Arabidopsis thaliana: one gene and its partner. The protein of the gene in region 1 interacts with the protein of each later gene in a pairwise test. Each region holds a gene or a part of one and is shown on either strand. Other genes may lie near its edges.

Evidence for each region. Proteins that work in one complex are often made in the same cells at the same time.
Region 2: the proteins of WAV2 (region 1) and AT5G01800 interact in a protein complementation assay, tested with the Arabidopsis thaliana proteins (one large-scale study listed by BioGRID).

Annotation. Positions count from the first base shown.
Region 1 is NC_003076.8:6,944,694-6,948,448, forward strand, and holds the start of WAV2 (alpha/beta-Hydrolases superfamily protein), read right to left. Parts: upstream 1,822-3,755; 5' UTR 1,623-1,821; coding exon 1,385-1,622; intron 1,096-1,384; coding exon 1,060-1,095; intron 930-1,059; coding exon 851-929; intron 740-850; coding exon 685-739; intron 593-684; coding exon 476-592; intron 1-475. Other genes in the region: BRXL4 (BREVIS RADIX-like 4), read left to right, coding at 3,250-3,348, 3,440-3,755. UniProt on the Arabidopsis thaliana protein: Involved in the regulation of root growth. Involved in the suppression of the root bending in response to touch stimuli, gravity and light. Negatively regulates stimulus-induced root bending through inhibition of root tip rotation.
Region 2 is NC_003076.8:305,374-309,128, forward strand, and holds the start of AT5G01800 (saposin B domain-containing protein), read left to right. Parts: upstream 1-1,565; 5' UTR 1,566-1,741; intron 1,742-2,033; 5' UTR 2,034-2,048; coding exon 2,049-2,136; intron 2,137-2,358; coding exon 2,359-2,507; intron 2,508-2,602; coding exon 2,603-2,803; intron 2,804-2,942; coding exon 2,943-3,002; intron 3,003-3,117; coding exon 3,118-3,273; 3' UTR 3,274-3,755. Other genes in the region: AT5G01790 (uncharacterized protein), read right to left, coding at 1-310.

The DNA of each region.
Region 1 (3,755 bases):
GAATACCCCTATCAACCAGGTTCTTTTATTGCCAGATGACTAAAACTTTAACACAAAAAATAATTATATTCAGATAGTACAAACCGCGTAGATTGTTACTGATGATAAGTGACTAGAATCTAAATAAAGAGGTACTCTAGAAATTTTTATACAATTGGACTCCAGGTCATCTGCCAAAGACCATGAGTTATAATAATTTGCAACAGTAACCAGAATCTCATTAATATACTGATAAGAAGCCATCCAAACCAAGCCCCTAGAGGAGAGAGGAAGGTGCCCTTAGGCGTTATAATTTATAAGGCATTTGTTAGTCTCATTCGTAACCATGTGGGACTCTCAATAATACTTCTCCCTTTAAACAGTAACATCCACAGAGCTGGCGGCTGGTACTTGGCCTATACTGTCTCTCTTCTAATAAAATATACATTTTCCCTACTCATGAAATGCTACCAATAGCAATATGTACTAATAGTACCTTATCTGGATTGTTTTTGGTAAGCACAGCTCCAACAGCTCCCCCAAGGGACCTTCCAAATACAACTATTCTAGATGTATCAATGTCAGTCCTTCCAGAAAGGTGATCCAATGCAGCCTAACAAAAAATATCAGGCAAGAAAATGGATAATGAATACATGGAGACGCAACAGAAGAGATATGTGGATAAATTTAGGGAGACAAGCAAACCTGAGCATCTTTTATGATACCTTGTTGTGAAGGATAGCCTTCACTTGCCCCATAGCTGGTTGCACGGGAAAATCAATAAGCATTGTATAAACAGATCCAAGGTTTAGACTCAAAAACAAACAATTTATATAAGAGATAGACCAGAAACCAGCAAACTGAAACTAACCCGCGATATGAAAGCATGAATACATTGCACTTCAATTTTTGTATCATGATGCGAACCATCTCCAGACGATGAGCGATGTCTGGGATTCTAAGGTCAAGGTCGTAACAAGACAAAGTATCCCAGCTAACAGACATGGAACATAAAATAGGTTCCTTAGAGCATACAAATATAAACAAACAAAAACCAAGAAATGGCTCTGGAAAGGATACTTCCAGCGTTCTCCTGGAAAAATAAAATGGTTGGACCTGCATGCCAAACATAAACTATTAGAAAGACTTCGAATTAGGCTAAAGCTACCAACCACAAGCAACTAGATTTTAGGTGACAGATAAGTTCCAAACTAAAGCTAAAATGACTTAGGGATCACAAATCTGAGAAAAGGAATCCAAAACCTAGCTAAAGACAGAGACATCAAGACCTAAAATCCCTCAAAATTCAGTAGATTCAAAAGCTTATTCGAAAATGTAAAATCAAATCTACCAGGAAAAAAAAACTGAATCGAAAGGAGACTCAATGATCAAAGAGAGTGTGGACCTCGACATTCAGGGAACATCTTGATGAACCAAGCGTGGAGACGTACACCATCGGATGATTGAAGCCAAATATCTTCGTAGATGAGATTGAGCCTAGCGGGAGTGATCGGATAAGACTTGCTTAAACCCGGAAGCACTGGGACGTACACAAGCTTCTCCTGGAAAGCCACGAGCAGCGCCACTCCGGCGACGACTATCCCTCCGAATCCGTAGAACAACGCGCTCACGTACGTCACCATTTCCTCTGGTTCTGCTAAAGGAGCAGATTCCAAATCCAAATCCGAATCCGAAACAGAAGAAGAAGCAAAAATCGAACGCACTTTTGCAACTTTCTATCTGTTTCTCTCGTGGATTTTGCTTTTCTTCTTCAGAGGGGAGAAAAAGAGCTTCTTCGTTTCTTTTTTTAAGTTTACAGGTGAGAAGGATTGAGACAGAGTTTCACTGGGCCGAAACTAAAGCCCATCTATGCGCTAAACCCAAACCGATTTTGAGTCTTCACCATAAGAAAATGTAGCTCTATTTGGTGGTCTAAATTGTTCATTTGCGAGTCCACCAACAATACTCAAATATGACATTTCCCGATGAACTCTAATCAATAGTTCGGCTAAGTTGTAAAGTTTGTACTCAACAATTATATAGATTATTCTACAGTTTCTATCTTGATTTTTATATAATAGTAACTTGATTTTTGTTTGTATCGCGAAGTTATTTGCTTAAATGAGTTAAGTAAAATCATTGTCATGCATTTTGAAATGTTGTAAGAAACTTAGCAAAAAAAAACTTAAATATATTGTAAACAAGCACAAACCATTTTGACCTCTTTAATAATATTATAATAGTTTTGGGAAAAACGAAATTTTGTGGATAAGATCTTGGTACATACAAATTTGTATATGAAATAATAAAAGTGGAGAAGAGACCAATTTATCTTAGTGACCCTAGTGTAATGTTTCAGAAAGGTTATATTGACACTCAACGATAACAAGACCATAGTGGCTGGTCGAAAAAAAAGAAAAATACTGAAGAGTTGTTTGTAAACTAAACAAGTCTTGGACCACCACCCTTTGCCAAAACATTTTAATTTTCAGTTTAGTACATTACCAAATTTACAACAACAACAACAACAACAAAAATACTTACACTATTAATATTTTCGAGTCGTTGGATCATTATTCACTTGAAATGTAATGTAGACGAAGACGTCACATACATAAATATTGTCGGACGGAACATATTGCTATCCTTAAATTAAATGTCAATGAGTTGCCATCAGAAGCGTTATGAACAACACACTACAGTACCCATTTAATGAATAATGCTAAGAACAACTTTTTATTATTGTGATCTAGCTTAGAACCACACATAATAAATTATTTCGTTTTAGGTTTCTCAAAAGTCAGAGTCAAATTTTGCATACATATCGATTAACTTCAAATCTTGCAGCACACTTGGCTACTTGAGTGTGAAGAACGACCTTTGATACCTCTGAAAGTCTAAATCCACAGGCCAAAAATCATGTATATAGTCTAACCTCTGTACAAGTTTAGCTAATCAGTAAACAAACAAAAATGATTTACCTTACCTTATGCAAGACCAAAACTTTTTACTTTTTTCACTTTCGAAATTTTAACCACCGGATTGCGTAATTACCGTAGTGAGACGCGGAACCTTTATTGGAAACCGGTAATCCCGGTTTAAAGTTTCTTAAGCAGAAATTATAAAAAAAAAGAGAGAATAAAACATAAAAAGAGCACCGAACCCAAACCAAAGTAGAAGAAACTGACACCATCTCTGTCTCTCTCTCTCCGTATCCAAAAAGAGAAAGAAAAAAAATCTCAAATCAAAGACCAAGCCAGTCACCGGAAAATGCTGACGTGTATAGCTCGTTCGAAGCGAGCAGGCGATGAATCCTCCGGTCAACCAGACGATCCAGATTCTAAAAACGCCAAATCTCTAACATCTCAGGTAAATTGAAATAAACTCACTCTTCTCCTCCGTCTCCAATTTTCGTAATTCTCTCTTCTGATTGAGGGTATTTTCGTCAATTCAATATCAGCTCAAAGATATGGCTCTGAAAGCATCAGGAGCTTACCGGCATTGTACGCCGTGTACGGCGGCACAAGGTCAGGGACAAGGACAAGGTCCGATCAAGAACAATCCGTCGTCGTCGTCGGTAAAGTCGGATTTCGAATCGGATCAACGGTTTAAAATGCTTTACGGAAGATCAAACAGTTCGATTACAGCTACGGCGGCGGTGGCGGCGACGCAACAACAACAGCCTAGGGTTTGGGGAAAGGAGATGGAAGCGAGACTAAAAGGGATTTCGAGCGGCGAAGCGACTCCGAAATCGGCGAGTGGGAGAAACCGGGTCG
Region 2 (3,755 bases), 6.6 Mb from region 1:
ACGGCGGAGGAGTGAGAGGTGGCAGAGTAGGTAGCTCAGAGGAGGGGTGTTTGGGTGTGCCTGGATGAGATTCCCATTCGAAAGGGACGGCACCGGCGGCTCCGTCGTAGTAGTAGATTCTAAAGGAAGGACAAGCAGCTGATACCGACGAAAAACGTTGTTTGGTCGACGGTAGCTTACCGGAGAAGGTGGCGGTGTCTTGCTTTTTCAGTGAGAGTGAAGCTGCCCGCTCAGATCCCGCGTTTGGCATTATTGTCTTGGGAGAGTGAGAGAGAGAGAGGGAAGGAAAGAGAGGGAGAGATGTGTGCATGAGACATATGGAGTCAATCTATCATGTATATATGGGTGCCTGGTGTCTTTGGTACGGTTTTTACTTTTGGGCTTATTTGTTTGGCTTTGGTGTCTATAGAAACTATATATTAAAAGCAAAATGTAATAATTAATGATAGTGAAATAATAGTTTCAATAGTGCGGTTAATTAGCTCTCATAGTTAGAACTTATAAAGATACATCTCGAAGTGTGTTGGTCCAATCCTACAAAGGCAATAACCACTCGATGGATATATAAAGTCATCACAACTTATTAGACCCTTGAACACTAAGTAATGCTACCGGGTACAAAAGAAAACACTCACATATGAATAATGAGGAGATCTAAATACGTCATACTCAAGGCAAGATATTTGTATCACATGTATATAGCAATTAACGATTCATCCATGAGAATATTTACATTACAAGCCAACATATACATAACTTCAACACAAACATGTCATTGATGAGTAGATTTTATTAAGAAAGGTGTGGTTATTGTAGAAGCATTTATTTGGAGAGTAGATAGGACCATTGATGAAAACAATATGAATTGAATAATTGGTTTTTATCTGATTAAATTGGAAAACAGTGTATGACTAAACGAGCCACGACCCATGCATTCCTACATGTGCTCCACATACCTCCGAGCATTGCTTTCCTTAGTATATACACACTGATAGACCCCATGGTCGGTCCATTCTTTTGCATTAATATCTTTCATGTGATATTCATATACTCGCTCCCCTCATCAGAATTTACATCTCTTCGTTAAAGGTTAAACAAGAAGACATAATTACATTTTCTTCCGTCCATTAAAGAAAAATGAGAGATTTTTTTTTTAAAAAATTGAAGGTCTTTAAAGTATTGAGAACCGTGACCTATTTATAAGGTTTAAAACCAACAACCAAATTTCTCATTTGTTGGGTTGTGAAAGATAATTTGGCGAATATCATACAAATGCGATTAATTACGGTTTAAACATCTCCATTAAGGTATTGACAGTATCAAAATAAGGAGAAGAAAATGGAACAAACAATTTTGTCCAGAGGTGTATAAACTTGGAGTATCATATTCTTATAGCAGATGAAATAAAATACTAGTTAGTTTATTTGTTTGGAAAACAAAATAGGTAATGTGAATATAGATTTTAAAAGTAATTTTGATACTACAGCCCTTTAATTAGATTGAAAATAATAATAATAATAAAGAAAGGACCAATCATATGTTTGACAAAAAAAAGGGCCAATCATATAATTCTGTTACCATGGATCTAAATGAGAGGAGACTCTTGCTTTTTCACAAAAAAAAAGAAAAAGAGAGAGAGAGCAGCAACCCCAGCAGCATCGAAGATCGTCGATCGTCGATCGGTTGCTCTCTTTCATTAATCAGATCTAATTGATACCCAAGCTTCTTCATCGGAGGCCGTGTAAGCTAGCTTCTTCTTCTTCATCTTTTCGTACACTTATTTGATTGTTGTTTATGTATCGATTCTATGGAATAAGAGCTTTTAGCACATATTAATTTGTCCCCAGTCTCGTCGTATATGCAGACCTATTTAGCGCTTATGGTTTGATTTAGATCTGTTTAATTTAGCGTTTCAACCTAAAATTGTTGACAACTCAAAATCGGAATCCCCCAAAAAGTGTCTGTTGACTTATGAATATGGCCATCTCCAAATCGGTTTTTGATCCATCATCATTAAATTTGGTAATATATAGATCTCACGAGGAAACATGGGCGGTAGATTTGGAGTCCTCCTAGTCCTCTTCCTCTTGAGCTGGTCTTGTCATGCTACAAACCCGATTCTTCTCGAACCATTCGGTAAGAACATTTTTGAAGGCATCTAGAGTCTCTCTTGCACCTGTTTCTAATTCAAATTTGTTAAAATCTGTTCACTGGATTATTTGAATACGTTACGTTTTCAGAAAGCATTCAATCTGATATAGACATCCTGATGTATGTTTTTTTTTTTAATTGGGTTTAAGAAGTTTGCTCCATATAATATTTGTGTTGATCTCCTATGTATGATTGTTTCGTTTGCAGAATCAGCTCATGATGACAACCAAGTCTGTGAACTATGTGACAAGTATGTCACGCTAGTCATTGATTACCTTCAAGACTACGACAACCAGAATGAACTCGTTGAGGCCCTTCATATCAGCTGCTCTCAGATTCCTCCTCTCAAAAAACAGGTCTTCATTGAGTCCTTGGTTGTTTTTGCTTTCTCTATTCCTTTTCTCAGACGTGGTTATATGTTAACTATGCCCAACTCATGTGTTTGTTGCAGTGTCTTTCAATGGTAGATCATTACACCCAACTTTTCTTCACACAAGTCTCTACTATCAAATCAGACCAAATCTGCAAACGGCTTAACCTCTGTCAAGCTGTGACACCGGCCTTTGCCTCTCAAGTCCATCAAGGAAACTGCGAGGCTTGCCGCGAGACTGTCTCTGAGGTTGTCACCAAACTCAAGGATCCTGAGACTAAGGTTTGCTCAACCTTCATTCCTTCTATTATCACATACCTATTCTGTGTCGCAAACCTTAGGCTTAGCACTAAGAATTATATCAGTTAGAGATATTTATTATTGCTGCTGAAGATTGACTTTTGCCTTGTGAATGTTGCAGCTGAAGATAATTCGGTTACTTCTCAAGGAATGCAAGTCGCTTAACAATTACCAGGACAAGGTAGCTAACTAATAAAGAATGCCCGCAAAGCTCTCTCTATTTAAGCTGAGTTTTGTGATACTTTTATGGATCATCATCAGATAATAACAATGTGTTTGTTTATGATGGTGAATAGTGCAAGAAGATGGTATTCGAGTACGGGCCTCTGATGCTTACGGATTTGCAGAAGTTTCTGGAGAAGAAAGACGTGTGCACTATCCTCCACGTCTGTCCAGGTCCAGCCACCCACCGTGACTACGTTCCTGCGGTGGAGTCATTGGCAGATTCGTAAATTCGGCCACCTTGGTTTTGTCGTCATTCACACTAATACCATGCCATGATCGTGATGCTAATTTAATTTGGTAACCCGGTGGTCATGTAAATACTGATTGATATATTAAAAACATAACTACACGATTGATGATTCTTGTGTGATTTGAAAAGAACGCTGTCTAAAGGCCCATTGTCCATCGATGGGCCTTTTTGCTAATTTCTACATTGCCCATGTTGTGTAGTCTGATTTTCGCTAAAACGTTACGTTGATGCGTGTACTCAATCACTCGCCCACCATTTTCTTCTGTGAAACAGTTGGCAAAAGTTAGGGGCCGCCAAGCTGGTTTAAACTGACCCACAAGCGAATAAATGTCAGACACGTGTAAAGGACAAAGAGAGCAAGTGTCACCGTATCTATAAAAGCTAACATTAGAGGATATTCTTGCTTACGTGTGACATCGTCACTGGTACATATCATCTAAAGGAATCTTTGATCAACAC